5 linked regions of the Nothobranchius furzeri genome follow. The protein of the gene in region 2 interacts with the protein of the main gene of each other region in a biochemical or structural test. Links are inferred from orthologs where the notes say so. Each region holds a gene or a part of one and is shown on either strand. Other genes may lie near its edges.

The links.
Region 1: the proteins of hspb1 (region 2) and akt1 form a complex in vitro, tested with the Homo sapiens proteins (3 studies listed by BioGRID, with this or other methods). The link is inferred for Nothobranchius furzeri from reciprocal best matches to the Homo sapiens genes HSPB1 and AKT1.
Region 3: the proteins of hspb1 (region 2) and cs form a complex in vitro, tested with the Homo sapiens proteins (2 studies listed by BioGRID). The link is inferred for Nothobranchius furzeri from reciprocal best matches to the Homo sapiens genes HSPB1 and CS.
Region 4: of the proteins of hspb1 (region 2) and mapkapk2a, one has a biochemical effect on the other in vitro, tested with the Homo sapiens proteins (17 studies listed by BioGRID and IntAct, with this or other methods). The link is inferred for Nothobranchius furzeri from reciprocal best matches to the Homo sapiens genes HSPB1 and MAPKAPK2.
Region 5: of the proteins of hspb1 (region 2) and mapkapk5, one has a biochemical effect on the other in vitro, tested with the Homo sapiens proteins (4 studies listed by BioGRID and IntAct). The link is inferred for Nothobranchius furzeri from reciprocal best matches to the Homo sapiens genes HSPB1 and MAPKAPK5.

What each region holds. Positions count from the first base shown.
Region 1 is NC_091758.1:33,915,412-33,921,665, reverse strand, and holds part of akt1 (RAC-alpha serine/threonine-protein kinase), read left to right. Parts: intron 1-1,298; coding exon 1,299-1,427; intron 1,428-6,254. UniProt on the Homo sapiens protein: AKT1 is one of 3 closely related serine/threonine-protein kinases (AKT1, AKT2 and AKT3) called the AKT kinase, and which regulate many processes including metabolism, proliferation, cell survival, growth and angiogenesis.
Region 2 is NC_091750.1:66,230,896-66,236,934, reverse strand, and holds hspb1 (heat shock protein beta-1), read right to left. Parts: upstream 3,920-6,039; 5' UTR 3,830-3,919; coding exon 3,448-3,829; intron 2,997-3,447; coding exon 2,933-2,996; intron 2,708-2,932; coding exon 2,557-2,707; 3' UTR 2,319-2,556; downstream 1-2,318. UniProt on the Homo sapiens protein: Small heat shock protein which functions as a molecular chaperone probably maintaining denatured proteins in a folding-competent state. Plays a role in stress resistance and actin organization.
Region 3 is NC_091755.1:37,199,836-37,206,089, forward strand, and holds part of cs (citrate synthase, mitochondrial), read right to left. Parts: intron 6,243-6,254; coding exon 6,135-6,242; intron 5,590-6,134; coding exon 5,524-5,589; intron 4,486-5,523; coding exon 4,354-4,485; intron 1,588-4,353; coding exon 1,399-1,587; intron 1,298-1,398; coding exon 1,098-1,297; intron 298-1,097; coding exon 168-297; intron 1-167. UniProt on the Homo sapiens protein: Key enzyme of the Krebs tricarboxylic acid cycle which catalyzes the synthesis of citrate from acetyl coenzyme A and oxaloacetate.
Region 4 is NC_091743.1:50,980,227-50,987,008, forward strand, and holds the start of mapkapk2a (MAP kinase-activated protein kinase 2), read right to left. Parts: upstream 4,547-6,782; 5' UTR 4,315-4,546; coding exon 4,069-4,314; intron 1-4,068. UniProt on the Homo sapiens protein: Stress-activated serine/threonine-protein kinase involved in cytokine production, endocytosis, reorganization of the cytoskeleton, cell migration, cell cycle control, chromatin remodeling, DNA damage response and transcriptional regulation.
Region 5 is NC_091757.1:53,481,641-53,487,894, forward strand, and holds part of mapkapk5 (MAP kinase-activated protein kinase 5), read right to left. Parts: intron 5,094-6,254; coding exon 4,973-5,093; intron 4,888-4,972; coding exon 4,757-4,887; intron 4,625-4,756; coding exon 4,509-4,624; intron 4,343-4,508; coding exon 4,238-4,342; intron 1-4,237. UniProt on the Homo sapiens protein: Tumor suppressor serine/threonine-protein kinase involved in mTORC1 signaling and post-transcriptional regulation. Phosphorylates FOXO3, ERK3/MAPK6, ERK4/MAPK4, HSP27/HSPB1, p53/TP53 and RHEB.

The sequences.
Region 1 (6,254 bases), on a different chromosome or scaffold from region 2:
CAAATGTAGATGTTTGGAAACCATCCTCATGCAACTTTATTTGAATAATGTGTATTTTTCACTCAGTATCTTTTAGTTTTGTCCAGCAAAGCCACACCGCAGTTATCTCTGCCGAATGTCCTTCCAACATCATTTCTAAGCGAAGTACAGAAAAAGCAGGAAAAGCACACCACCACACCATTAGCTGCTGTTTGTTTTCTACCGTCTGATTTGTTCTCCGTTTCATCAATCAGAAGTGTGTTTGAAGAGGGCAACAGAAGCTCATATTGACAGATCTTCTACATCTCTGTACACGCGCTCTCCTGCACACAAAATGCCACACTCCTGTGTTGGAGGAAATGGAGCAATTACGGACAGCTTGGTGATGCTCTGCAGGGGGTTAATATGCAGCTCCGTAATTAAAAATAAATTACAGTTTTCCTGTATAAATATTCAAGTTCCACATCACCGTGTGCCATTGCCTTGTTATGGTATGTAAGCTCCCCCCCCCCCCCCCCCCCCCCCCGCGTCTGGGCAACATCTGGCAGAACATGTCCTGAAGCATCACTGAAATAAATTGAGTTTTGTCTGCCTTCAGAGAGATTCAATGGTGGGATGCGCGTACAGTCTGATTGAGACTGACATGCATGGCTTGAGGTTATAGCAGGTGTCTAAAAGACTAGCAAAGTGTTAAAATCTAATTGAGGATTTAGGAAATGATTTATTGGATTAAATCATATTCAGCTGCCTTCTCTCTTTTTTTTCCATTCAACTTATATTCATGATTCATTCATGGTCTGTCTAGTGTGGAAATCAAAACTTATTGGCTTTTGCGGATATTTTATTGGTGTATGAGTAACGCCACAGCTCTAACATTAAATCCATGTTTACATTTGATTTTTTAGTTTAATTTTTTCTAAAACCTTTTTTATATCCATGCACCTTGTTTTTACCTACATTAGGGTCTCGTATTACAAAGTTATGAAATCATGAGTCAAAGGGGGATTTTTCATGGTTTCTGTAGTATTTTAACCAGAGTGCATCATAGAATAATGAAAATGCAGAAAAAATGTGTCCAGATGTTTGCTAAATTCAGCCTTTGTGTCATAGATAACAAGAATGAGCACCACTGTAACTGCAAACGTGTTAAAGGGAACAACCTGTTTGTTGTTGATCATAAAATCACAAAACTGTTGCACTTATCATTTTGGGAAAACAAAACAAACTCCTGAGTAAGCAGCGGAGATTCTAAAATGCAACTTTTTTTTCCTCATCTTTCATCACTTAACTGTTTTTTGTTTCCTGTTTTGTCAAATCAGGAGAATACATCAAAACCTGGAGGCCAAGGTATTTTCTCCTCAAGAGTGACGGTACATTTATCGGATACAAAGAGCGACCACAAGATGTTGACCAGCTGGAAACCCCCTTAAATAACTTCTCTGTAGCACGTGAGTGTCTGCTCCAAAGAAACCCCCTCTTCTCTGTGTCTTGGCAGCTTGTTCTACCCTCCAGTTTGATGCTTTTCTTCTTTTTACTTGCTTTGTTGTTAGAAGTACTTTCACATACTTGTTCTCAGATGTGTCCTGTTTGTAAAATATAGTTTAAACCCTTTGTATTCTGGGGGAAACTGTGTCTAAAAGCCTAATAATATCCTTACTGAAAGGGAATCGAGAGTAAAAAGACTATTGATTTTGGTTTGCTTTCGTGGCGAGCCCTCCTAGATGTCCTGAATGCATTTCCTCAAACTGTCACAATAAATCCGTTATCGACGCTAATGTATAAATACTACATCTAGGACAAAATACTCAGTGTTTTGCACCTTTTTTCTAAGAGTCTGTTCAGCTGATAAGGTTTTTTTTTCCCCTGCTCATCATTGCCACATTGAGTGCATAACTAGTGTTTTTAAAGTGTGGTTTCAGTTTAGCTATTTGTTAACCTCAGGAACTCTAAACACAGGATGCACAAAGCCACTTGGAGAATGCAGCAGATTGTAGCTTACCCAGGGCTTTCCAGGATTCCCTGGATTCTTTTCTGGATTTCAAAAGGAATGCACAATGATTACATAACTTCAAGTTCAAAATGTATATTTTTTGTGTGCATCAGTCCTCAATAAACTTAAAAACAGCCAATTTGCTGCATTGAGTCTAAATTGATTTAGAAAGCCAAGAGTTTGGGTTACATTTTGAAATCATGGTATTGAGGATGTTTACGTGGAAACTGGACTTGATAACATCATGTGATAGTTAAGGCTTTCACACGATGTGGTAAAAATGAATCTATTTAAATACACTGAAGTAACATGTTTATATTGTCCCAGAGTTAAGGGAATTGGTTTTAAAGAGATGCATAAAAAAGTTAGCTGATGGCCTAAAATCAGAGAAAAGTAACGCATTGCCAGTTGTTTAATTGGGGTATGTAATTCAAATGAAACTTTCTGTGCTGCTAGTTGGTTCTGTACTACCTGTAAACACTCAAAACATGGAAAACAGCTTTCCATCTGTTTTGGTCACTTTTTGGTTTAGGAATTGTATGCATAAAACAAGTTGATTCAAAAAGTCTCCGTTTGTGACATCACAATTGCAGGAATTAGCATAGAACCACCACTCACCTGTCTGTTGTCATGCTCGGAATTTTAGTTTTTAGAATTTCCTTGGCCCCATTTGATGCTTCAGTCAACAATATACTGTGCCGTAAAATTTCCAAGCTACACAAGTGAGAGTAGGGGGTGGCACATCTGACCTATTGGCCAGGAGTTGAAGCGTTTGCCCTTCACCTATTGCATCAAATAGGATGTCGCTCAGAGGTTTGAAGCTGATATGAGGCTGCCGAAGAGATGCATCTGAAGGAAATTTTAGTGTTTCCAGCCATATATTATGTTGGGTGACTTGTTGACGAGTCTATGGAGTGCTTTTATTGGACCCTTGTGCCTGCTCTGTCTTCTCGATCCCCAGTGAGTCGTGGAGGATGGCTGCTTATACTGAGCCAGGATTCTCTGGAGGTTTCTTCCTGTTAAAAGGGAGTTTTCCTCTCCACTGTTGCTGCATGCTTGCTTAGTATGAGGATTGCATCAAGTCACTGACACTAGTCGGTGACTTGATGCAATTTGCTGGGTTCCTTTATATAGGAAACTTTTTTCTGATTGGCTTAATGAACTGACCTGGATCGGAATGTTTATTATATGAAGTGCCTTGAGACGACTCGTCGTGATTTGGCGCTATATAAATAAACTTGAATTGAATTGCATTAAAGAGCATTTTTGTTCAAGATGGTTCTATTCCGTCAGTGATACGAGCCTTCGGACGATGAGTTAGACATTATTTTAATTCTAGAGTAGCTTGACGAAAGCATTTACTGTGTCTGCAGTTATTGTTATGTTATATCCTTGATTGGCATACATGACTGGAATCACAAGCATCCTGGCTTTCTAATGAGGTACATATGTGTGTGTGTGCATTAGGGTTGTCACGATACTAAAATTTCAAACTTGATTCGATACTTGAAAAATAACTCGATGCTCGATTTCGATACTATTTAAAAACACCAATTTATTGAGCAAGTTTATTCGAAAAATAACATTCCTCAATTTATATTGCAAAAATTAAATGTTAAGAATTAAGTGTATTAAGTGCTTAAACCTTTCAAGTATCAGCATTTTTTAAAACGTGCATACAAAAACTGGTGAAAGTTAACACTTTAAATCATGAATTGTCTCACTATGAATACACTATTTGCAGAGTGATGTTTTGCTGCTTAAACTCTGTTTAAGGTGCATTTTTGTCATAAGATGTAATGCCATATGTTTTGTTCTGTACTTTTGAACAACTCTGTTGGCCAATAAAGGGAGAAAAGGAATTTCTCCACAGTAGGACAAAGGTACATCTACCGGTAATCTTAATAAAAACAGACTGGCGCACGGCAGTGACGTCATTAAAAGCGCCGGTTAATTAGCCGCAGCTAGTCTGTTCACGCCTAGAAATCCCAGACCCGCTCCAAACGAACAGGGGAATCATGTTAATGATTTCTAACAAAACCTTTCGACATTGAGATGTGTTTTGGTGCAGATAATGTCTTATTTCGAGGCTGCACCATGGGTGCCCGTCCGCACCCGTTATATGGATATACACTGATGGCGATTCGCTGATGGATCTAAATACCCCGGGGAATCCAAGTAGCACCAAAGTTGTCAGCGTGAGTAAACAAACGTACTGCATGCTAGAAATTAAGTCTGGGTTGCAATAAACGGGAGTTTTCCTTTAAGCACATAAGCGTGAATATACAACTACGTGTCGGACTTGGTATGCTAATTAAGTTGGGCTGTGAAGCGCCTCCCAAATTCACTGTTTATGTTTTTGTTTATTTATTTGGCAGACAAAACTTGGATCGGAGACAACTCGCGTGGGAAATTGCAATGTAGCCATGCGGCGTCTTCTTCTGTTTGTCTGGGAGGCGGAGGCTGCTTTACGGCATCTGGCTGTCGTGCGTGTCGGTGTACTTGAAGAAGGCTGTGTATAATAGTCCATAATATCGATGCCACAGGGATGAAATATCTAATTTAGATACCACTTTTAGCATCGATTTATATCTAGGTATCGATTTTTTTTACAACACTAGTGTGCATAGAGTGTTGCAAAAAGATGCTGATTTGTTGTGGAAATTTGTGATGTCCCCTCCACCAGATTAACTCACGGGCATAAAAAAATTATCGCTTTTAAGAATCGATCGGCGAAAGGCTGAGACTATCACTGATGATCAAAAGTTTGTCCAATCGCCCAACCATACATAGTACTAATATGACCAAAACCCTTTTGTGCCCCCCTTAATATGTACAGCTGGTAGGGAATTATCACTTTAATATGACTAAAAACTTCTGTGTATAATTTTTACATGGAAACACTGGAAATTGTCTCACCAGTATCTGTCACTGCTGCAAACTAATGAAACTGGCTGACATTAATGCATTGGATGCTACCCCCCCGTTTGCATCTCTTTTGCACAGTGTGACAGAAATGAACAATAAAAAAGTGCCCAGAGCAACCTGGTTCACTCCATCTTCACATCAGAGAAAGTTCCTGCGATGAGCCGTGCAGATGACTGAACGCAGCAATTAGACAGCACACTGTTTGTTTAACAGAATGTTTCCTCTCCGACGCTCTTGAGTTATCGCGGCTATTAGCTGCCTGATTTCTAGTATTTATCTGGGCTATGCTCTGAGGCTCCTGTCTCCTTTTGTGTTTTTGTCATCGCTGCGACCCCACAGTAGAGGACACATGGTGTGTCGCTGCTGACGGGGGCGGCTGCAGCTGGATTACACATTCACCCTGATGGAGCCATGTTGGATCTCAGTGGTGGTCCACTCGGAGTCCTCCATCGATCAGAGCGAGGCCGTTTTTGTGTCACATCCTGACATATTTGCTGACAAGTTTCATTTGAGAACAGATGTTGGTGTGAAGTAGGTGCAGATGGAAATCCCTGCTTTGTAAATTCAGTGTTGTGTGTAATTGTTTTTACAAACAGCTTACATAACAGTTATTTGCCCCAAAAGTAGAAAATGCACAAAATAATATTTGATACATTTTTGTTTCATTTTAGATCCGTGAACTTTGGAGATGGGCGGGGGAAAAAATCAGCTGGTGGTCGGAATCGGCCAGTATTTAACACTAACGTCTTAATCAGTGATCAGTCAATGTAAAAATCAAAAATCTGATGTTTGTGTTTTTATTTGGGTTCATGAATGCACCTTTTACAAACAGCAGTGAAAAGTTTAAAATTTTCTCTGACAGGGAATGCGCTAAATCACACTAGCAAATGCATGTTTTATCATTTAGAAGCACAGTTAAGATAACGAGTGTTATTTAAAGGGATTTCTCATTAAGTAACTGTGTAATACTTGTTCCTTTTGAAATTCGATGGGTCACCTGAGTTGTGCATGCATGCTGAAGGTGAAAATGTTCTTCAACCCCATCGACTGCATTAGCTGCAGAAATGGAAATGACAGGAATGCAACATGCAAAATTAGCATTAATAGCCTCGCCTACCTTATTGTCAATCTGTGCACCTCTTGTATTTTTAACTTTTTATTTTAAAATAACACTAAGAAAAACCAAAAGAAAAACTTTTGTCTAACATTTTTAAGGTAAACTGTCTGGAATAATGGGGAAAAACACAAATTGCGTTAAGTTTTTATCTTTAAATCAAGCGTTCTACGTCATTATTACAATGAAAAATCTGATAGAATTTAAATTTAAACCCAAATTTCTATCCGATCCTTTTATTTC
Region 2 (6,039 bases):
TTCTACATCTCTGAGGACCTAGATGTAAAAAGGTTGCACTTGTAGTGCATCCAAGGGTAAAATCTGACATGTGGGTCCTTTTGGATAAAAACTGATTTCAGCTCATTTGTAAAGGATTTCTGACATCTTGAAACAATCAGAGACCCTTTGGTCTACTTTTTTTTCTAAGCAGATTATTAAACATTAAAGGGATACATTTTCATATTTGTAAATGACAACTGCTAAAATGACCCTTCACAGAGTTAATGAAATGTCACTCAGACCCCCAAGAATATCGCACTTGCAACTTCAGACTGGCAGAAAAATTTAGCTGACACGCCTGGTGCTGCGGTCTGCTAACAGCATGTTTTAGATCATGAGCACAGCTGATTTGTTTAATTTAGTGATGAACCGCTCCTGTAGACACTAATAAAGGCAGGTGAGACGTTTCAGCTGTTAAATAAAGGTGTTAAAAAGACAACTACAACGAGGAGAGGTTTTGCTTTCGATTTGACCACAGATAATGAATAATGGACACTAGGGGGTGCTAAAGGCAAGCCAAAACTGACAAGTGTGCCTTTACATCTGATCAATCTAGACAAGGCCTATTCAATTCCGAGCTTCGAGGGCTGGTATCCAGCATGTTTGAGTGGTTTCTCTGGTCCAACAGACTTGATTCAGTGGTTGAATCACCTGTGCAGCCGCTCATCAGGCTCTGCAGAAGCCTGTTAATCACTTATTAAAATCAGGTGTGTTAAAGCAGAATTAAAACCAAAACGTGCTGGAAACCGGCCCTCAAGCCCCAAATTGGATAGCCCTGATCTGGATAAATACATAATAGTTGAGAACTCATTTAGCAGTGACACTGAAACCACATGTCCCAGAATGCACTGGGGCCCTCAGCTGCTGCATGTGAGGTCTCCAGGAAGGACTGAAACCAGTTTAGTTACCAGTAGGTCTGTAAAACATGCACAAAGGTGTGTTTTAAACATTTCCTAATCCACAATTTTTGTGCGTGACACTGGTGGGAAATGGATCTTCTGCTGCTTTTTAGATTCCCAGATTCATCCACAAAACTCCAACAGGTGCTATTACTACCTTCTCAACCTTTTGAAATAATCATAGTTTGTGTTTTCCTTTGTTTTTTGTTTTTTTTTTAAACGGATGACCAGAACCCAGTTTTGTAAAACTATTCTGTTTGTTAAATTTGCCTGACGTGAGCCGGCTAGAGACCATAAGAGCCAGATATGTGAGCAGGTAACAGACCAGCATGCACTGGGGCGGGTCTGGTGTGATACATCAATAAACCACTTTCAGACTTCTGTTGCCTTTATGCACATGAATATTTATGTCCTTGAATAGAAAATGAATCACCATGGTGACACGTAATCAGTGTTTTCTCAGTTTGAGTGACTTTAACGTTTTTTGCTAGTGAACGCCTCCCCGCTCATGAGATCAGCAGACCAGGACCCAGCTGCTCTTCACATGAAGCACTTTTCTAGCTTTGGTTCCTGGATTGATGGGGTTGGCATGAATAATTCAGGCCTGCATTAAAGTGGAGGGAAACTGTGACTCATGGAGGAGGAAACGCTGAGTGTCCTTGTCCAGAGTCAGTAGCATTCAGGAACTGTGTGCTTATAACGTAATGGTCAGCTAATAGACATCTGCTTTGGCTGCCAGAGTTAAATCTGAAATCAATCCAACTATAGCTGACCTATTAGTCACTACAGGCCAAAAGCCGTGGAAGAACATTCCGCCGGTTTGTCTGCCGGCTCCCTGTGACCACACAGCACGCTGGAAGCTCAGGACATGGTGTCTATATATATAGATTTCCCCCTGCAGCTTTGGGGTCAGGAGCAGAGTTGGTCTGTGTATTTCCGGACAGACGTGCAACACGAAAGCCTGAAGGATGATGCTATGGAAGGAGAGAAAGAAGTGATGGAAACAGGTTCCATCCTACAGATGATCAGCTGGTGCAGAACAACATGAAAATAACCAGCATGGCTGGCTTCTTTCCGGCAGCTGAGCATCATTGACTGTTGTCAGTTCAGTTTAAGCCACGCCCACTTTACATGCACTAATGGGACGTTTAGTAAAATCCAATTGATCATTTGACTGAGTTCATTTATTTAGTTGTTAGCTGGCTGCATGTTATTTTATTAGATTTTGCTTAAAAAGCAAACAACAATTATGTGCAGGTAAGTAAACAGGACTTTCGTGATGCGCTTTTTGCATGGATGACCAAAAGATATAATTTAGCCACATAAATTCATTCTCAGACGTAGCTCAACTACACAGACCCATGTTGGTGTCACATCATGAAAAAAAAGACAAAAGAATATTTTTTGTTAATTTTATTTCCAAAAGCAGCTCAGTGACAAACAGGTACCTGAGGACACACGATTTTAATAATGACCACTGAGAAGCAACATCAACATTTACTTCAAATGAAAAAGCTAATTAAAAAGTAATAAAAAAAACCACAACAAGATTCATCTCCTCGAAGACGTTTGTGGATTAAAACAAAAAGCATGCATGCGTGTGCGTTGATGGCATCAGGGTGTATAGCGCTGCTATCTACTTCTGGGTCACGGCGGGTTTCTTCTCCACGGTGACGGGGATCGTGGTTTCGGTCGACTCGATGGCCATCAGAGGAGCCTCCACGGTCAGAATCCCCTCAGGGGAGAGAGAGGAGGTCACCTTCTCGAAAGTAGCGGTAGGAGGGAGGCTGGAGGAGGGGGGAGGAGACAGTGTTACACATTGTTGTAGTAGCAGAGGTGTGGCCACTAGGTGGCAGCAGACTTGTGGAGTTGAATAAACCAGATATGACTGACTAGGTGGCTGATAAGGCATTTCAGAACTCCAAACTTCAGCTTCAGATATACAGAATACATTTGACTGCATGCATTTTGCACAAACCTGCAGATTTTGAAAAAATAAAATAAAAGCTTACGTGTATTTCCTGGTGAAGCTCCTAGAAATGAAGCCGTGTTCATCCTTCCTCTCCTCGTGCTTTCCTGTGGAAACAACAGAAATTATTAAAAAAATAATTAATAAACAGCTAGTGATGTCATTCATCTCTTGTGCCATTCCGTGAGACTGAATCACACGCTTTGTTTATCTCTGTGCTCAGACCAGGTCCAGTCAACTGGACCGGATCCAGCAGTCCTTTTAAAGCTGCAGACACTGGGGAGTCACAGCAAACTGGAAGAACTGGGATCACGAGGGCGAGTCCGAGAGGGAGGAGGCCTCACATGCCACCAGTAAAAATGTAAACAAAAAGTAAAACTAAGCTGCTTCACAGGTATCTGTTGGCTTCTAGCCAGAATCCCACTCCCACCCATGTGAGGAAGAGGGGGAGGGGTCCTTTTCATCTGGAGACAATGACCTCAGTTAACCTGGATCCTGAATAAAAGATCCTGAATGTTTGCAGGTTACTTAAACACCTAGAGAAGAGAGAAAACTCACCAGAGATCTCCACAACACCATCCTTCATCTTCACCACCAGCTCCTCAGGTGAGAAGTGGTTGACGTCAAGGGACACCTTCCAGCTGTCCTGCGTCTGCTTGATCTCTGACACGCCACTGCCCATCTGCCTGGACAGGGCACGAGCCTGCTGGGCCAACATCTGTCCCGGGTACATGTGGCTGTGGGGCATCATGATGTCAGTGCCCAGGATGGAGGGCCTCAGGTAGCCGGGCCAGCGGGAGCTGGGGAACGTGGGAAAGTCCTCCAGCAGGGCCGGCATGCCGAAGATCTGGTCAAAGATCCGGCTGCTGTGGTGCCAGTCCCGGAGCGGATCCCAGCTGGGAGTGCGGGCCAGGGTGAAGGGAATATTTCTCTCAGCCATGCTTGCTGTGGTCGGGCAGAAGAAGTCTTCTCAAGTCTTTCAGAAAATGTTCTTCCAAGTTGATGCCTGACTCACATGCTGCAGAGCTTTTATACACGCTGGTCCCACCCCCCTAACGCCCTGCCCCCAGACCCACAAGCCCCCAACATGCCTACGGAAAGATCTAGAATCTATTTGTGTCTGTTGCAGCACGTGGAGGGCGGGTCTTGGTAACAGCTGCCCAGTGCAAACGTAAGAGCTCCCACCCCCACCCCTCCCATTCTGATCAGATCTGACTAGAAGCAACTGGAGGAAACCTGAAGAGCCGATGTGATCACAACATGCTGGGATACGATGCAAAAAGTAACACATAATACTCACCTGGGTTAACCCTCTGGAGGCAGGCATTGCAGGTTTGCAACAGTTACCTACCTGGTTACTCCACATATGTGTTTCATGAGCATTGTTTAACTCAGAGGTCGTCCTTCTATCAAAACTCATTTTGACCCAAACTGGGTTAAAAACTCCCAAGTTTCTTAGTGGATGACAGGAAACTGTTTAGTTTCATCAAAGTAGGAAAAAGTGAGCTAAAAACCAGACATGAAAACATCATTTTGGTTGCATTCGTTTCTCAGGGTCGTGGTTTTGCTCTAGTTTTAATACAGATGCACATTTACACACACAACGGTCTAGAAAGATGCGTCCAATAGAAAACATTTAGCAGAGTGTTGTAGAAACACCTGGAAGATGGGTTTAGGGTAAGCAAAGGGAGCATTTACACGTACGTGTTAGATCCTGCCTGGGAGACACTTTCAACTGTGAATCAATTCAACCCCTTCTTTTCGGGCTATCTACGCCAAAATACTAACTGTATTTTGATATCAAACTGGATTAAAAACATAGAAGACGTTCATTTTAGACCAAATGCATCTCAGTTTTAAACAAAATGCTGCTGGGTGTTGTCTTTGAGCAACCCTCTGGAGGCAGGCGTTGCAGATTTGCAACACTACTAAAACCTACCTACCTGGTTACTCCACATACACGTTTCATAAGCATTTTTAACTCAGAAGTATTCAGATATTTAGCTGGAAAAAAAAGAAAGAAAAACCAACAATTCCACCATTTTTCAACATGAGATGATTTTGTTTGAACATCTAGAATGAAAATGATCTAACTAATATAAACCCTTTCATGCATAAAGTTCAAAAACTTCTGAAAAGATTTTTAAAGAAAAACAAATGTTAACGTTCAAAATTTACATTTTTTAAAGAGCCACACATTTTCTTACATTATTATTATAGTATGTTATTAATGAAAACACTAGAGTCTAATGTGGTTGTATAAATAAAAGTTTACCATCAACATTCATATAAGCAAAAAACAGCTTTTAAATGGTGAAAATGAAGTTTTTTTTAAATCAGTAAACAAGGTTGTTTTTGCAGGAAAGACAGTAACAATTTAAATTGGAGCCAGTTTTTCTGTTTTGCATTAAAGGCCCTTTCTGGGAACGACCTCCAGGTGGTCAAACGGGCAATGCAGGAATTCATTTTCAAATGCAAACAACCGGAGCTTTCAGGTGGATGATCCACTCTGCATCTGAGAGACGCCAAACAGCAGGCAGCAGGGAAACTTCCATGCATGGATTAGGGTGAAAGGTCATTTGAGGATAAAGGGTCTGCAGGAAGGAAGGAAGGGGGGAGGGGTTGCTGCAAAGAACCTTTTTCTAGAAGATTCTTAAGCACAGTGCAGTGTTTTCCACGTGGTTCATTTTTGAACAGTTTTGTCACTTCCTGTTCAGAAAAGAGATATTTGAAAAACTTGCTTTTCAACGGTTTGAGGAAAATGCAAAGATGTTTATCTACTTTGATTAAATACATCCCAAATCAGCCTGAGAGGAAGTAAATGTGCTTTTATCCACATGGTAGTAGAATTAGACCATGATGCAAAGTTTCAGCTCCTTATCTGTAAAATTCACTGGTTTTTAAACGTTTTTGCTACTGTTGAGTTTCCCCAGTTCAATATAGAAGTATAGGAAATTGTTTAAGACTCTTATTTAAAATTTGTCCAGTTTCTATTTCACAAAGCTCTTGTCTGATCTGTTCACCCTTTAGTTCTGTGGCGCCAGATGGAGATCCATGCAGCAGATTTGACTGCGTTTGAGTCATTTTGTTGTGTACTGGCTGTGGCGGCCATATTTAGTCTGGTTAATCATACGAACGTGAATTCTGTAG
Region 3 (6,254 bases), on a different chromosome or scaffold from region 2:
TTTTTTTCGGTGTTTCAGCCTTGGTTTCCTCATTTTCAGCCAAGAATTTTCATTTTGGTGCATCCCTATTCTGAACCCTATTTATGTTTGAATGTCTTCTCTGTGGAAGGTTTACTGGGAGGCAACTGGTGAATTTGGATCCTGTCTAGGGGATGATGTGGACGAACCTGATTGGCCAGGCCGTGCAGCGGACCAGCCAGACCGTTCATGGCAGCGCTGAAGGACAGGTAGGGATCAGACAGGGCGCTCCCCACTAGGTGGCTAGTGTGGGCGCTGACATTTCCTCCTTCATGATCGCTATTAAAACAAAAAGAGTTATTGGTAAATATTTACTAATCAAGTCAATGGTTTTCTATTCTTTCAGCAGTCCAAAGAAACCATCTAATCCTACATGAGCTCAGCTCTTTGTCCACTTTTAATCTACTCCATGCTTTTTAGTAAAAAACAGAAAACACTGGAAACTGACCTTTGTGTTTCAAAGATTTTGGACATTTCAGTAAAACATTCTTTATCCAAACTAAAAATGTGGCATAAACCAAGCTATTTGTTCACAACACTGTTAGTTTCACTCTTGTAAACAGGTCTTTTTGCTGCAGATATCGTGGTTGACATGAGGAAATACAGAAAAATAAACACCCAAAATTGGGTCACATTTCACTAGTGGGCCATTCCCATCTGTACCGGGTCGGCCCGGGCCGGGTAGCCCCAGTCGGCCCCAGCATGGCCCGGTTGATTCCACACAACCTTGCCTTAAGCCCATGTGGGCTGATTCTACCCACCAATCAGAGGCTTGCTCTAATGGAAGGTGTGAATTTGCTGTCAGCAGTGGGTGTGTTGGCCCTGGTCGGCCTGAAGCAGACCCCCTCGAGAAGAGGGCTGAGAATGAGCCTTGGTTGGCCCGGAAAAATACCAGGCCACCCAGACATGTAAACAACCTACGCTACCCGGCCCGGTACAGATGGGAATGGCCCATAGTAGTCAAGCTGATGGGGATGGCTTCAAACCGCATTCAGTTTAGAGATTAAATGACTGATATTATGGGTATAAGCCTGTCCTCACACCCGTTTGGGAGTGTGTGTGTGAATCTGAGATGCTACCTGTGGATAGTGAGGTAGAGTCTCATCAGCTCAGTGAACTGGGGCTCGCTGTAGCCCAGCATATTGGTGAAGTTGTGGGACCAGTCCAGGTTAGAGTCAATGGCTCCGATGCTGCTGCCTTCACGATAAAGATTGCGGTAAATCTTAGCAGCGATGCAGGGCAACTTGGCAATCAAGTCCATGGAGTCTTCGTAGACAAACTGGGAAAAACCAAAATAATAAAATTTCACCCAGTAGAACAGACTTTTCCTTCTCATGTTCGGTCACTGGCAGGACCGGATGTGTGTGTGTGCGACCTCACCTCCCAGTACTTGGACTTATGGACCCCCTCAGAGTAGGCCCGTGCAAAGCTGCTCTCGCTGTTTAGAGCTGTGATGGCGGCACTGAACTGGGACATGGGGTGCAGGTTTGTGGGGAAATTATCCAGCATGGTGACAACATGAGAGGGGAGTGCCGCTCTTTTCGCCCACTCTTTGGACACCCAGTTTACCTAGAAAAGGAGGGGTCAAGTTAAGGTCAAGCTAAGGGGTTGGAGGGGGGGTCCTTATTTGGCCACTTTATACAAGTACACATCTGTTAAAAGGGGCAAAAGTCATTTTTCTGTGAAATGTTACAATTAGCTAAGAAAAGTATGTTTATCACTTAATTACATATAAACACTTGCAACAAGATAAGCCGGCAGCAATAAAGTCCCAGCAGACGTCCTCTTGAGTCAGCTGTGACTACAGATCACATTACACTTATGTAGATAACCACGTGAAGTGTCCATGTTTTGGTGCTCCTAAAGTACAGGTCCTTCTAAAAAAATTTGCATATTGTGATGAAGTTCATTATTTTCTGTAATGTACTGATAAACATTAGACTTTCATATATATTAGATTCATTACACACAGCTGAAGTAGTTCAAGCCTTTTATCGTTTCTAATACTGATGATGTTGGCATACAGCTCATGAAAATCCAAATTTCAATCTCCAAAAACAATATATGAAAGTCTAATATTTATCAGTAAGTTACAGACAATAATGAACTTTATCACAATATGCCTTTTGTTTTTTATCAGAAGGACCTGTAAATGGTCTGTATTTGTGTAGCAACTTCTTAGGGTTCTACAACCCCCCAAGGCACTTCACAACACAATCTGTCATTCACCCATTCACACGCTGGTGGAGATGAGCTACGATGTAGCTACAGCTGCCATGGGGTGCAATGAGAGAGGTGAGGCTGCTGAACACTGGCGCCACCGGTCCGTACGAGCACCACTAGCAGGCAAGGCGGTTTAAGTGTCTTGCCAAAGGACACAACAGCAGCTTTCTCTGGTCCTGTCTTAGCTGTTGTTTGCTCTGAGCATGGTTCATTTAGAGATGTGATGCTACAGGCATCAGCCAGGTTAAAAGACAAGAGCTTGGACAGCAGTTGTGTGGATGAGACTGGTTCTAGCAGCTCAGATAAGCACGGGTTCCTACCAAGGTCTCTGAAAGGACAGGATGGAAATTTGAGGCAGTTCTGTAAACCAAACGGGTCCCAACTGGAACCTAATAAACAGGCCTGTGAGTGAATATTCAGGTGTGTAGACCTGTTTCCCACTACATGACATTACGGACTACTTTTAGAGCCCAGCATGTTTAGGTACCAGCTGCACCAGCCCCTCCAGTCTTCAGATGAGGGAAGTCTTGCATTTTAGACTTAAATGTTTGAAGTTAATCCTAATAGATTTAAAAATACGGTTTAAATTTGTAGAAAAGGGCTCAACCAATGTATGTTTGGATTAGCCTCCATGGCTACAGTGGGGCTAAAGTGTATTTAGCCTCCAATTGTGCAATTTCTCCCACTTAAAAAGACGAGGCCTGCAATTTTCCATCAAAGGTATATCTCACCTATAAGAGACAAAGAGAGAAAAAAAAATCCAGAAAATCACATTTGTCTGATTTTGAGGAATTTATTTGCAAATTATGGTGGAAAAATGAATATTTGGCAAGTAATGAAAGTCCATCTCAATGTGTTATCTACCCTTTGTTGGCAATGACAGAGGTTGAATATTTTTTGACCCCACGGGGTGAGATCTTGCATGGAGCCACTGATGGAGGGAGATTATCAGTGGTCTTGTACGTCTTCCCCTTCCTAATAATTGTTCCCACAGTTGATTTCTTCACACCAAGCTGCGTACCTATTGCAGATTCAGTCATCCCAGCCTGGTGCAGGACTACAATTCTGTTTCTCTTACAGAAGAAGTTACAGGTTTGTGAGAGCCAGAAATGTTGCTCGTTTATATGAGACCAAATACTTACTTTCCATCATAATTTGCAAATAAATTCTTTAAAAATCAGACAATGTGATTTTCTGGATATTTTTATTCCTCATAGTTGAGGTATACCCGTGATTAAATATAACAGGCCTCTCATCTATTTAAGTGGGAGAACCTGCACAATAGGAGGCTGACTAAATACTTTTTTGCACCAGTGTATCACGTATATAATTACAGCTTGAGCTGCAGTTATTAACGGTGAAGTGCTTTGAGCTTAAACACCAAGTCAAAAATAAACCCTGAAACGTAATCTACTCTTAACTTTTATAATCCTACATCATATTTGATACTCTGGTCACAAGCCTTTGTTTAAATTACATTCTTATTCAGACAGAATCACTATTACAGGGTATCTGCAGGTTTAAGGGAGTCAAATTTAAGACTTTTTAAGACCTTTTTAAGGCCACTTTGACCACATTTAAGCTACTTTTGAAATTAAATTTAAGCTATAATTTCTAGCTATTGCCTGGAACCGAGCAAAAGTGGGATTAACCATCCAGTTACCATCAAACTTGCACGTCCCCATGGCGCAAGCTCCCACTAGCTTAACCAGCTCATGTGCTCATCTAAAAATAGTCCCCTGTCACAACCAACTGAATGTGTACGGTTCTGCTTACGCCAACACCATACACAAAAAATGCTGAATACTAACTAGAAATTCAAAAAATTTAATAGAAACAAAACGATTTTGTTTATTGGGTCTTTGGTAATCTAAGACCTTTGGAAACTGTATTTAAGGATTATTTGTCATTTTTAAGGATTTTTAAGGCCTTAAATTTGGAAAAGCAAATTTAAGACGTTTTAAGACTTTTTAAGGACCTGCGGATACCCTGTATTATTCAACAGGAAGTAAAGGGAAGTCAAGAAATCCTCGTCTGAGATTCCAGGACTGACTGAGGCAAAAAGAACATCAGTTCACTCGTGTACCATCAATAATTTATTGTGATGCTCACCTGCTCCTCAGTGGGGACCTGTCCTGTGATCAGCAGCCAAAACAGGCCTTCAGGCAGGGGCTCCTCGCCTCCTGGAGCTTTGGGCAGCAACTTCTGACACTCTGGAATGCTGTAGCCCCTGAAGCGGATGCCCTGTGGGTTAACGGACAAGAGAAAAGGTCAAACAAATTATTTCATGTGGTTATCCAACGTTCTTTCACACTTTCCTGCAATGCTAAATAAAAAAGGAAACTTTAATACAAGCTCCAAGTAGGGATGGGCCGTACTGTATTGTTCACGATAATACCGGTAAAATCTTCTTGCCCGGGGAAAAGAAAAACCTGTCTCATTTCTGTGACTGTTGAACTCTGGACATGAACGCCATCACCCTGTTCTCTCCTGCTCAGCCCTCCATGCATTTTGAAGTTCTTAAACATCAGCTACCAAACTGGATAATACCTAATTCTGCACAAGAACAATGACATATTTTGTTATTCAAATAAAGAGGAGTAAGATCTTCCAAAAATCAGAGTTCTGCAGAACCTCAGAACTTTGTGACAAGTCAAACAGTAAAAATGTGACATCTGTGGTTACTGATCTGCTAAGTTTTCAATCATTCACTTGGGAATCATGCCGTTTTGATGTTAATATGGTTAGAATGGATATAAGGAATTCAGAATAAATTAAAAGAAATTGTACTATGTGAAACAAGTCACACAGATTTAGTAAGGATGTAGTAATATAGCAGAAGAGTCAGTAAATGAAAAACAACTGTACTCTGCCACTTCATCAGAATATTGTGAAATGTTATGGTTTTATTTTGAGGCCATGTCGCCCACCCCTAGCTCCAAGTGTCCTTCCTTGTGAAATGTGAAAACACAGACAAGACTCCCTGCTGACAGCTCTCACTTTAGGCTGAAAACTGTCGATTCAAGAGTCCTCCGAGAAGCTGTCAGAAGAGTTTAAAGCATCGACTAACGACACACAAACAAGAAATCTCTTCTTTCACTGGTTTATCTGCTAAATGCTGACAGATGGGACTCTTAAGCGAAAGGAAACTGAAATAACTTACATACACACGTAACTCTTAGTGATCTAAACTGTGTCGAAGGTCAGACTGTTGCTTTTGCAGGAAGACACAGGAGTGGCCAGTGAGTCGGTATACGTCATCAGCGTGACTGTAGCACTCACCTCCTCAGGGTCCAACACTGAGGTTTCATATACCAGACCCTTCATCCCTCTCATACCACCATAGACCTGTGGGAGGAACAGAGGAACTCTAAGCATTTTCTGGCCACAAAATATCTGCGACATTAAATTAACTTGCAGTAACAAGCCCACTACGCTGGAACCCCTTTAAAGCCTTAAAGTACACGACTGACTGATTTTACATACTGGTGTATATACTGGTCTGAGACTTGGTATGACCACAAGACTAAGAGGAATACATTTATTTTCAATACACATCAATATGATCCATTAGGCCTTATTGCAGTGCTGTGGATGTGTGAGCCCAGACCAGCCTGTTTCAGGTTTTCAGTGACTCAGCTGAAATTTTCTCTGTTGGCAGGAATCAGTTTATACGTGACCTCTGAGGGAGATGACCGTACAGTGATACCTGACACAGCCAACGAGCCTGGGCAGGCCTAAATGGATTACATGTAGCCAACTACCATGCCACAATTAGTCTTCGTCACAGCCTTTGGCCTCAATGCCCTTCCCTAGATTAATTCCCTTTTAACTTGGACTTGCATCTCCAATATTCTGCTCACTTCAGATTTACTCAACATAGCACTACTTACCATATCAACAGTAATCTGGCCTATGTTGGTTTTGCCATACTGCTGTTTGAAGTTTTTGATCCTGGTCTGTTCTTTGGGAATGAGGTCTGACAAAACATCCCTCAGATTCTGTGGAAGAAA
Region 4 (6,782 bases), on a different chromosome or scaffold from region 2:
AAAGGACATAGGTAAAGGTGTTCTTTACTAACTTTACTTGGTTTAAAAATCTTACTAAAATAAAAAGAGTGCCGTATTACAAAACCCAATCATACTTGTTATGTAAATATTAGCTTTGTAGATATTTTTACAAATAGATAATTGTGTGGTAAAAAAAACCATAAACTTAAATAATTTGTCATTCTTTATTGAAAAACAAAATAGATGAGTGACTGGCCACCAGCTGTTTTTGTTCTCCTGCCAGATGAGATGATGGTTACAGGTGTGAGGATGCACCTTCTGTTATAGCCACATTAGAGGAGTGCAGCCTGGCTGAGGAGGAGAGAAGGAAAAACCACACAGAGTAGAATACTAACTAATAATTACAATTTCTTGTTGTGTAGCTCACCTTATGTGCACTTTAAGACCTGGACCTGTGCAGGGGCGGATTTAGCAATTTGGGGGCCCAAGGCGAACACAGACATGGGGCCCCTTACACTAAATTTTCAACAATCTTACCTTTAACTGGATTTGCGAAACTCCCCCCTCTTCTGACATGAGTTACTTTCCCTTTTTATTAGTCCTCCTCTTTTTTCCTGGTTTTCCCTTCCTTTGAGTGCCTTCAATATTTGCTCTGCTTTAGAGCTGAAACAACTAATCAATTTAATCGATTATAATCGATTATTAAAATAGTTAACAACTTTTTTAGTCATTGATTAGTTGTTTAATAATCACATTTTACCGCATCAAGTCTATTTTTACCACAATCTGACATCGGTTACAATCTGTTCAATTTGCCGCAAGTGTGTGGCAGTAATGAGCCACTGATCTACCAGTGGAGCCGTAAAAGAAGAAACGAGCCAATAAGTGCCCTCGGTGTTCATGACGTAACACGTTACTGACGCGCATCTTGCTGTGAGAGATGGCGGAACAAGAAGAAATACGGAAGAAAAATAGAAGCGACAATACTGAAGAGAAACCCTGGACAAATACCTCACGAGTATGGGAGCACTTCACTCTAGATGCTATGAAAAGACGGGTGACCTGCAAAATATGCAAAAACCATCTAGCATGGCACGGAAGCACGACGTCCCTAAGTGAACATTGGAGACGAAAACGTGGGGGCAAATGCAGCAGAGGAAACGCCAGCCCGGTAAGTAACAGAAAATAAACAAGCTAAATATAGTGGTCCATCACTACACGCAGATCAAATTTGGGACTTAGTGCTTTAGCTGAGTTCGTTATAGTGGATGTTAAACATGTTTTTTTTGCTGTGTCAGTCTACGGTGTTCTACTTCTGATTGACTAGATGCAATCGTGAATCTCCTCCGTGTTGTGAATCATGCGCTTGCCAAATTTAGCACGTCTGTTTATAAGAATGTTCTCGTTAAGAGAAAAACGGCACAAACCCATAACTATGTTCCTCATTCTAAAATGGTCAACTCCGCGGTGAAAAATATGCAGACGAGCTGTGTCCAGGTGAATATAACGCGGCATAGTTGTACGTTTTCAATTTTTAAATACAGGAGAAATTCAGAAAGTCTTTTTTTTTTACTATTAAAAGGCTGTTTTACTATCTAACACTGTAAAACGCCTCACAACACATTTTTGTCAAAATAAATGATCACTGTATATTGTTAATTCAAATAATATAATATTGATTTAGTGTTGTAGTGTGTGTGCTGCTTTATTTTATATGTGTACTTATTTCAGTCTATTTGTGTTTCTCATGCAGAAAAAAAAACAAGCAACGATGGACAACTACATGGGGAACAAGACACTCACCCCCCAGCAATGCATACCACTTACAAACTCTATTCTAGATTCTACATTATTTTTTATGGAATTTACCTCTTATATTTTGATGCCAAAAAATTATTCTGGACTGATATTTTGCACTGTTTAGCTCATTTTACACTGCTGACTGTGTTCGTGTGCAATAAAATAGATTGCAGTCAACTGCACAACTCTGTTTTTCTTTTTCTTAACTGAAATGTATTCATCATTGTTCTCCTGCCAGATGAGATGATGGTTACAGGTGTGAGGATGCACCTTCTGTTATAGCCAAGACTGAACACTTTTCCTGATATCCAAGTGGTTGTCTGACTTTATAGATCAAAATGACAGATTTATGTTATGTTAAGTTATTCATTGCCAAACCAAAGCCTATTGTTGCACAACACCACATATAAGTATTTCTTCTCTCTCACGCAGCAAGATGAAGTTGATGAAATGGAGGAAGAGGAGGAAAACAACCCCCCTGCACCTAACCCCAAGCAATCCAGTGCTTTGGAGTCTCTCCTTGGGGAAGACTACAGACCAAGAGAGGAGAGGGGGCATGCAAAGAAAACTTGTGCAGAGGTGGCAGAAGATGAGATCAAGAGGTACAGGGCGAGGAAACCTGCAGGACTGCAGGACAATCCTCTGGTCTGGTGGAGAGAGAATGAAAAAGTATCCTCTTTTGGCTCGCATGGCTAAGCGATATCTCTGTGTCTTTGGGACCAGTGTCGTATCTGAGAGGGTTTTTTCAACTGCAGGTGATATAATTACTGCAAAAAGAAGCTGTCTCACCCCTGGTCATGTGAATCAGTTACTTTTCCTGCAGAAGAATCTTACCATTCGCAAGTGATGTACATAAGGACAGTTTACACAGTCTGTCTTTAGTCAAGTTTATGTTCCTGTTCTATTTTGTTTGTACATCAATATGGAATGCCTTTCAGTTTTCACAAGTTTACATTTTTGTACTTTATCGGCATTTGAATGTTTCTGGATACCTGAAGTGTTTAAGTTTTTGCACAAGACTGTGAAACAGTTGTTTAAGGTTCTGTACCTTTTAATTTCTATTTGCACAAAGTAAAACGAAAGCAGTTAATTTTGAGCTTTCTGTTTCTGTTTACATTTGCACTGGCAAATAATGTCTTTTGTCATATGGTAAAACTTATTTGAATAAAAATGGCATTTGCTTTCAACAGCAATATCTTTTGGCTGAATTCCTAACGTCTGAATTTAATAATGTCCTAGAAAACACTGGAAACACTTGACATCATTAATTACCTTTCTCAGTGGCCTAGTGGTAGAGGGTCCGCCCTGAGACTGGGAGATCAGGGGTTCGATTCCAGGTCGGGTCATACCAAAGACTTTGAAAAAATGAGACCCAATGCCTCCCTGCTTGACACTCAGCATTAAGGGATTGGATTGGGGGGTTAAACCACCAAATAGTTCCCGAGCGCGGCTGTGTCTGCAGCTCACCCCATCCCCCAGGGGATGGGTCAAATGCGGAGAACAAATTTTGCACACACACCTGTGTGTGTGACAACTAATGGGACTTTATTATTTATTTATTATTATTATTACATTCTGTGAGAGGGACTGATCTTTACAACCATGTTTAATGGCCAATATTTCATTAATTTATCACTGAATGTCAATATTATCAATACACTGCACAACTATGCAGTCATGGAATTAAGGTAACTGCAAAAATGTTTTTAAATTGATGACCCGAATCGAATCGATATCGGATCAGAATCGATCAGGTTACATAGTGATAATCGATTCTAAATCTCAAGAATCGGAGTCGACTCGATTCTGGAAATTTGAATCGATACCCAGCACTACTAAATATCTACGTTTTATTTTTTTTAAGTTCGCCATTATCCGTCACAGCTAGGTGGAAATGCTATTTTATATAATTAAATTATATTAATGTTAACACATTTGTAGCAAAATTTATAAAAATATACCAAAATGGGAGGTCTTCTCAAAGGGAACAGTGCTGTTCATAAGGGCAACTCCTACTCATGTTTGCCATTTTCCTGCATCAACACATCCGACTCAGTGTTTGAATTATTTGTTAAGCATGTCTTCAAGTTCTGTAGAATCTTGTTAATCAGTCAATGATTACCATCTGGAGCACACAAAAGTGTAAGACATGCTAGATAGTTGGGCTGCAAGAACCAGAGTTGGACACCACTGGATTAGGGTGTGTTTATGTGTTATTTTCTAAATCTGTATCCTCTACTGCCACTTCAAGTGGTGTTACCTTCAATAACCAGTTCATGCACACTGTTGTTTCCAGCTGTAACTCACCTTTAGGGCGTATTTATCACCGGTGCTCTTCTGGTAGATTTCCAACACCTTTCCATTGATGCCCAGCCCCAACACCTGGTTGGTTATCTTGTAGTCTTCTGTGATGGCGTTCTTCTTGATTTGTAGGTTGGATTTCGAAATGAAGGGGGCAAACTGACCCGGAGGGTTCTGTTGCCCGCTTGGGTTCTGCTGGCCCGCTGGGTTCGGAAACCGTGGCTGGTTCTGAGGGTTACTTAGCATGTTCATGTTCTGGGCTTAGAGATAATCAGTCGCCACCACTCAACAACACCGCTCCGTCGTTTCCCTTTGAACACAAATTGGGTCTTCCCGACTTAGCTGGTGACCGAACACCGTAAGAGACTAAGGCCCGGAGACAAGCCGACAGTAATATTAAAATTACAGATTAACAAAGTTACTTGGTAATCCGAAAAATATCAGATAAGCTATTTTTAGCATGCTAGCTCGAGCCTATTCTATGACCTATGATTCCCGGCTAACAACTAAGCTAACTGTTAGCTTATCCATCTCCGGTAGTGTCCGCCTTCCACCGGTTCCTCAAAAAATCGAAGAGACGAAAACGCTTCAGGAACTTATTAAAACACCCTTCAAGTCGCTTAAAATGTTGTGTTACGCTACTAAAATCAAGAAATCTCACAATTCGGCTTTGAAAATACCAAAACCACCTAGTAAAATAACGTGAAATGAGAGGAAAAGTCCGACCAAGCTAACGCGACAAACACACTTCACTTTTCGGTGGACAGGGTTTACTCATGACGTCATGGCAGTTTTTTTTTTGTGTTGTTCTTAAAGGAGAAGTACCACAGAGGAAATGACCGGATTATCTGGCTCGCTGATAATCGCCAGAGAATCATAAAGTAAACCACGTTTTATATGTTTGTTGAGTTTGATTGTTTGGATTGTATTCAGTACATAAACAAGGGGACGTCCACACGGCCACTAACAGCGTTTAAAGAGCAACAGCGAGGGACCAAAATAGACGCAGACTAGTCTGTGAGAGGAGAGGAACAGGTTACCTCAAGGTTAGGGCTTTTCTGTTTCCACATCACTGTTTCACATCAAAATGAATTCAACTCATTAATCCGGTTTCAGTTTTCTAGTTGGGAAGACGCACTGCTACCAAACAAATGTTAATGGGATAATTTAAGCCCTCTGAAGTGGGAATGAGCATTTAGGGTAGACCCAAATAAAGGATCGGCCCAATAAGGAATTAGGCACTGAACACTCATTTATAATTTTATATATTTTTTCTTTTTTATTTTTTAACAGTCGATTTAAAACCACACGCATACATGACAAACATTTCTTACTTTTATTATCTCCACTGGGAGATTATTGGTGTCAAAACTTAATTGATAAACATGTTTTTCTTAAAGTAAATTGTCCTGAAGACAAGATTGTTTGATTTGTGGTACTTAAATAATATTCATTTAAAGTCAATAGTTTGATTCAGTTTTTAAATGAGAGTTTGGGACGTGTAGCAGTGTCGTTTAGAATTGCACTTAGATCATTCAGTATTTTTCATTTAGATTCCTCTTCATGAAATTACACTTTAGGATAAAGAGAACACGAAATGAACTGATCAGATATATTAGTAAAACATTTACACAAATGTAGGTGTGTCTGTGTGTGTGTGTGTGTGCGCGCGCGCGCGTGTGTGTGCGTGTGTGTGTGTGTGTGTCCTCATAATCACACTAAGTGCTAAAATGAAGCGTACAATTCCAGTACTGGTGGGACTTCCAGCTTATAAAGTAATTATCTCATCAACACAATAAGACTTTTTTATTTTCCCTCATCCAGTCCCTATCTAATCTGATTTAATAAACTGTTCTTTTTTTCTCATTGATAAACAGATGTTTGAATAGTTAGTGCTTGTCAAGTCTAAACTCTAAAAACATTAATTTATAACAATAAGCATAAAACACAATTATATTAACAGAGAATTAAAAACATGTTTGAATCACCAATGAATTCATTATAAACTCTTAGCTTTGTATTTTCGTCTTGATTGTTTAAATGTATTTGCAGAACCTCATTTCACCACTAGATGGCAGCATAATCTTGATATTCAATAGGCAACCTTGTCGTTGGGCATTTTTATTTCCGCAACAGAAGTGCTGAGGCATGAAAAGTGTCCTGTGTTCCCAACTGAAATGATTCAGTGTGTCAGGTAAAGTTTCTGTAGGTTGAACTTTGAATGTACAAACCTGACATTTGTTTGTTTGTTTTGCCTTGTATGCATGTGATGTGCTCCAGTGCACATTTTCCAAGTTATTCAAAAACGATAACAAAGAATTGTGAATAAATTGTACATTTACACACTCTTGAACGAAGTTATTTATTAATGGATTAGAGAGACTGGGACTTATCTCACACATTTTAGTCTATTTATTAATGAAGTAACGTTTTAGAATTCTTTAAAATAGACAAAAGGTTATAATCTGTATGTTTTATCTATGAGTCTAAGGTGTTGTAGTTTTCTTTAAGGAGGCCCTGCAATAAAGGACAAATTTTGGCTGATTACGTTTTTCAACTAGCCTAGAAACCTAGACAAACCAACAGTTGCAAAAGATTTGCTCAGCAGGTTGGTCAGGCCATGCTTCATGGTAGTCTCAGCAGCAGATCAACTATTTGTCTGAGCAGTTTTGTTTCTTGCCAATCACAGTGCTCCATGTTTGTTGGATCTGGCTTAGCAC
Region 5 (6,254 bases), on a different chromosome or scaffold from region 2:
GAGAGAACCGAGGATAACAAGCGGCAGACACGGAGCAGCTTGAAGAATACCTCGCGAAAAAAACTCTAAAAACATGAACGTTTAATTCCCCGTGACTGGAGGAGAGAAAAGATGCGCAGCAAGCATTTTATTTGTGGACGGAAATGACAGGAAACGTGGGTTTAGAGGTGGGGAGCGCATGAAGAGGTGGAGGAGAATGAGAGACAAATATGTCTGTTAAAAAGTCTCTTATATACAAAAAAACACAATATAAACACACCATCTTGGACCGATACATGACAGGATACCACAGAACAGCGCTACGCCCTCTGCTGTCCTGCCCTGGAAATGCTTTGCAACACTCTCCAGGAGACGGAGAAGTACGAGAGCAAAACGCTTCCGTCTATCCGTGCGTGTCTGTCGCTTGCGGAGCTGACGGAGAAGCATGAACCAGGCTTAACGTTCGTGAAGCACAGTTAGCCATCGTTCTAGTGGATCGTTCTGCACGAGGCCCAGAAGCGTAGTGATGCACCGCTGCACCAAATGTACACTTTTGAGGCTGTTTTTGTTTTATGTGCTACACTTCCAGAACCATCTAGCTCATCAGTTCAGATTGGGCCAGACAGGAAGTTAAACACAAAAGCTGTGTAATACATCCACAAACTTTCTAAATAAAAATCACTTGTAGAATTCGGGTTGCTTAACCAATAAAAAAATAAAAAATAAAACTCAGTCATTTCCTGTGAAACCTCCGTAGTCACGGTCCTTGCTCGTTATCGAGTGAACAGTCTAAATTATGCATGGATCGCTTTTGCTGCCATGTTAGGCCGGGGACACACTGGCCGCGGAAGCGCCGCGAAAATGGGACCGCCTTCATTCGGCGCCCTTGTTAAGCTATTCTATAGACCACATGGGCCGCCGAAGCGCCGCGAATCGCCTCGCGCCGGCGCGCGCCGGCGCTCCAGCCCGCGCCGTGCAGCGATCATTTCGGCGTTGGCTCTATTTTTTTCGCGAGCCGCGGGTGAATCGCGTCAATTCTGGCAGGAAGTCAAACGTAGACATAAGAGGCAGGCCGGTAAAGTTAACAAAATAAAGCATTTCAAAATAAAATTCCGCAATAGTCAAATGTGTTCGTAAACAGACACTGCAGAAAAACCACACGAACACGCACACACATACACACACATCGAACTTGTGTGCGTGTGTGACCACGTGAAGGGGGGAGTGGTTTTGGGTGTCTTTTCACCGGAGCAAACAGGACAGAGAGGCAGAAAGTCTGAGGCAAGCAGTTAGGATGGACGACTTTAAATGAATTATGGAAGTTGAGAAACACAAGGAGCTGTACGACCCCCCAAAAATATGATTGTTTACGTACCCATGTCGGAAGAAACTGCTAGGATACAGCTGCAGAATTGGAGCGGGTTCCAAGAGATTCAACTGGCAGAAACAACTCATACCATAGGTTCACACACACACGCGCGCGCGCACGCGCACAAACACTCAAACGTAGGAAAAGAGCTGAGAAAAGGCAGAGAGGAAATGGAGGACACCAAGTGTTTAAAAGAAAAACTACAGCTGAGCCGAGGCGCGCCTCGACTGGGGCGCGTCTGATCTGAACTGAGGAGCGGCGAGCAGCGGCCGAATTTCGTGAGCGATTCGCTTCTCGGCGCTTCGTGGCGCTTCCGCGGCCGGTGTGTCCCCGGCGTTACACCTGAAATGCTCCTGATGGGAAGGGAGCTTGTGAATAAAACAAGTCTATTACGCTACGCGCCTCTTACACATCCAGTGGAAAGCCGGGGTGAGACCTGAGATCTGCTGCATGTAAAGCCGGGCGTACCTGTACATTTTTTACACTCGTAGCACTCAGCTTCAGCTCAAACTGTACGACTTCCTCGCAGGGCAGATCTCACGAGTCGTGCGCTCACACTGCACGACCCAGTTCTCGCATGCGACCTGACTGCTCCCACTGTACGTCTGGTAGCAACACGTCGGCCCTAAAAATATGCTAAAAATAGCAGTTTTTACACAACACGTCAAACTTTTTTGTCTTGTTTTGCCTGTTGTCCTTCGGGAGTGCTGCAGGGGACACACAGGGATTTATGGGGGTTGGATGAGGAAAACGAAATAAAGAAAGTAAATCTGTGTTTTGTGATCAGTTTAATTTGACACGAACACGACAAACACGCTTTCTTGACAATCTTTGTGAGTAAAAAAAACGTGTAGAAACAAAAACGAACAGCGTGTGTTATTAGGGAAATAGCGAGCGGCGTTGATGCATGATTGCGCATGCGCCGTGTGCGGTTCTGGTACTTTTTGGGTCGCAGCTGCTCGCAGCGCCACTTCAACAGTGCGATACCCTCACGAGGGACGAGCGAAATTTTAAACACGCCAGAAGTCCGTGCGACCTCACGACTGCTGATCGGTAGCTGGTCACGTGGTGTTAATCGCCTCTCGTAACCCCCTGTACACTACACGACGCTCAGCGCAAAACTCGCCCCGATGTCGTGGATTCTCGCACGAGTGGAAAATCGGCTCAAAAAAGTGAAAAAGTCGCACAGTGTACGCCCGGCTTAAGATGCCGACTACCTAAACCTACAGTCAGGTCCATAAATATTGGGACATAACATTTTTGGCTCTATACACCACCGCGATGGATATCAGATGAAACGAACAAGATGTGCTTCAACTGCAGACTGTCAGCTTTTATTTGAGGTATTTACATCCAAATCAGGTGAACGGTGTAGGAATCAACAGTTTGCAAATGTGCCTAATGGGACAGAATAAGAACCATTAATCAAACGTATAAATTTCAATGCTTGGTTGCAAATCCTTTGCAGTCAATTACAGCCTGAAGTCTGGAACACGCAGACATCACCAGACGTTGGGTTCCATCCCTGGTGATGCTCTGCCAGGCCTCTACTGCAACAGTCTTCAGCTCCTGCTTGTTCCTGGGGCGTTTTCCCTTCAGTTTTGTCTTCAGCAACTGAAATGCACGCTCAATCAGATTCAGGTCAGGTGATTGACTTGGCCATTGCAGAACAGTCCACTTCTTTCCCTTCAAAAACTCTTAAGTTGCTTTTGCAGTATGCTTTGGGTCACTGTCCATCTGGACTGTGAAGCGCCGTCCAACGAGTTCTGAGGCATTTGGCTGAATATGAGCGGATGATGTTGCCCGAAACACTTCAGAATTCATCGTGCTGCTTTTGTCAGCAGTCACGTCATCAATAAATACAAGAGAACCAGTTCCACTGGTAGCCATACACGCCCACGCCATGACACTTCCAGCACCATGCTTCACTGATGAGGTGGGATGCTTCGGATCCGTCTCCAGACTCTTCTCTTCCCATCACTCTGGTACAAGTGGATCTTGGTCTCATCTGTCCGTAGGATGTTGTTCCAGAACTGTGAAGGCTTTTTTAGATGTTTGCAAACTCTAATCTGGCCTTCCTGTTTTTGGGGCTCACCCATGGTTTACATCTTGTGGTGAACCCTCAGTATTCACACTGGTGGAGTCTTCTCTTGATAGTTGACTTTAGCACAGACACACCTACCTCCTGGAGAGTGTTCTTGATCTGGCCAACTGTTGTGAAGGGTGTTTTCTTCACCAGGGAAAGGATTCTTCAGTCATCCACCACAGTAGTTTTCCGTGGTCTTCCGGGTCTTTTGGTGCTGCTGAGCTCATCGGTGCGTTCCTTCTTTTTGAGAATGTTCCAAACTGTTGTTTTGGCCACGCCTAATGTTTTTGCCATCTCTCTGATAGGTTTCTTTTGTTTTTTCAGCCTAATGATGGCTTGCTTCACTGATAGTGACAGCTCTTTGGATCTCATCGTGACAGCAACAGATTCCAAATGCAAATCGCACACCTGAAATGACCTCTGGACCTTTTATCTGCTCATTGTAATAGGAATAATGAGGGAAGAACACACACCTGGACATGGAACAGCAGAGAAGCCAATTGTCCCATTACTTTTGGTCCCTTAACAAGTGGGAGGCACATATGCAAACTGTTGGAATTCCTACACCGATCACCTGATTTGGATGTAATTACCGTCAAATAAAAGCTGACAGTCTGCAGTTAAAGCACATCTTGTTCGTTTCATCTGAGATCCATTGTGGTGGTGTATAGAGCCAAAAATGTTAGCATTGTGTCGACGTCCCAATATTTATGGACCTGACTATACTTCACACAACCCAAATCAGAAATACAAATCCGTCCTTTTCAGATTTTTTTCTGAAACCAAAGAAAAGAGGTACGGACCGTCCCAGCTGAGTCCATGCAGACCGTCTCTCAGCAGCTTACAGTCTCTGTTGATCCTCCAGGCTTCATGCATCACCTCATTCAGCTTCTCATCCTCGTTCTCTCCTGGAATAACATAAATATTCACCTCAGAGGATTCTGTCTATGCATTTCTGCTGTCAGCAAGATTTGGTATAATTCTGTAAACCCCATAAAAAATCACATTTTCTGTAGAAAATAACAATAGATGAGGCTAAACTGTGTTTAGAATGATGGACTTGCAGCAACTGACCAGCTTGTGGTAGTATGCACTGTGCAATAACATCCCTTAGCTTTTCAAGCGCTACGTTGGAGTCTTCCCCTCCATTTTCTGGGTCATGAATCAAGAAGCCATCAGTTGGTTTGGGCCTGCAACATCGAGAACCAAGAGCAAACATAAGCATAGGATTCCTAATAAGGACTTGTCTGAAATGAGACCGTAATCGTACAAAGCTACAGCGTCGGTGCAGCAATATGAACGTATTAATACACTGATCATACACGAGCAGTTTCCGCTTCCTGAGAATGGGGTTGTTGACGGAGTTTAGTGGCTTCAGGCTGACGCTCAGATCCTGAATTCTCATGTTGGCCAGCTGCTCTGCGTGTGCCTGCTGGATGCCCGCCACGACGGCCTGGAAAAACATCACAGACTCGCCATAACGTCCAGAGGAAACGGACAAAAGATTCGTCTGTGGTGTCAACGCGGTTCCAGCTCACCTTGTCCATCATCATCTGCGGGGACGGCAGCACGTTGTCGAGCGCCTCGGTGCAGTTCAACCACGGGTGAGCCAAGACTCCGTCGATGGTCAGCCTCTCCTCTGGCTTCACCTTCAGCAGCCTGCAGGCAGATGAAAGGCATTAACGTGAAGGTTTAATCAAAGCGGGTGTGGAAAACTGGAGATGAACAAAAACTAAAAAAATAAATAAATAAATAAAAACTTGTATTGAATGAAACCATTTTTCATGAGTAATGCGAGGTTTAAGTTTCCTACAGTTTCTTACTCTTTACCACTTGAACCATCACACTTACGACCAGTGTTGGGAAACTTACTTTTAAAAAGTAATTATAGTTACCAATTACTTTGTCAAAAATGTAACTCATTTACTGAGTTACGAGATTATAAAAGTAACTAATTACCAAGAAAAATAACTACTTAGTTACTTTTTTCATTAAAGAATGCTAGAAAAATGGGTTAAATGAACTTAATTTACTATAAATTACTACAGTAGCGAAATATAAATGACGAATGACTGGAACTTAATAAAATGTATGTCCAAATGTTTTTATAAACCTGAATAATTTCAATAAATGAGCACTTAACTGGAGGAACTACTAACAGGAACATTACACTTATGTAGACTATTAAAAGGTCACTGTGTGATATTTAACAAGACCCCAATCAGCTAAAATTTATAATTTGCAAATAGAAACACCTGTAAAGGTTCCCGAGCCTTTAAATGGTCTCTCAGTCTAGTTAAATTACAGACATGAATGTAATTTTGTACAGTATTTAAAATTTTCCAGCTTCACATAATTGTGTGTTTTTAGCAGCATTTCTGTTGCTGGTAATCTAGTAACGGTTAAATAAATAAATAAAATCCTTTAAAATGACACTAGAAGAGGCACAAGCCTGATGGAGGACTTGCATTTACTAACTTGGGTCAGACCCAACCACAGAAGAGCTGAAGCTGGATGGTAAACACACACAGGTAGTTCTGATAACACCTGAGCTCCATGACGTGTGAGACTGATGCATCAGTGTTACAGCGGGACTAAAGACATGATCAGAAACAGGTTACAGCTGGATGATCTAGGAAGGTAGAAGATCAGGACGTCTGAGAGGTGAACAGGTGAGCGGACCTTTGGGACGTCCCGCTGTCACGCTAAGAAGGGCGTAGACTATTCATCACGTCTTCCTCGTTCTTCACGGCCGTGATGCTCTTGGATGAAAACATCTACCTCTTTAGCTCCTGATCAGCTGATGACAGCTTCAACACA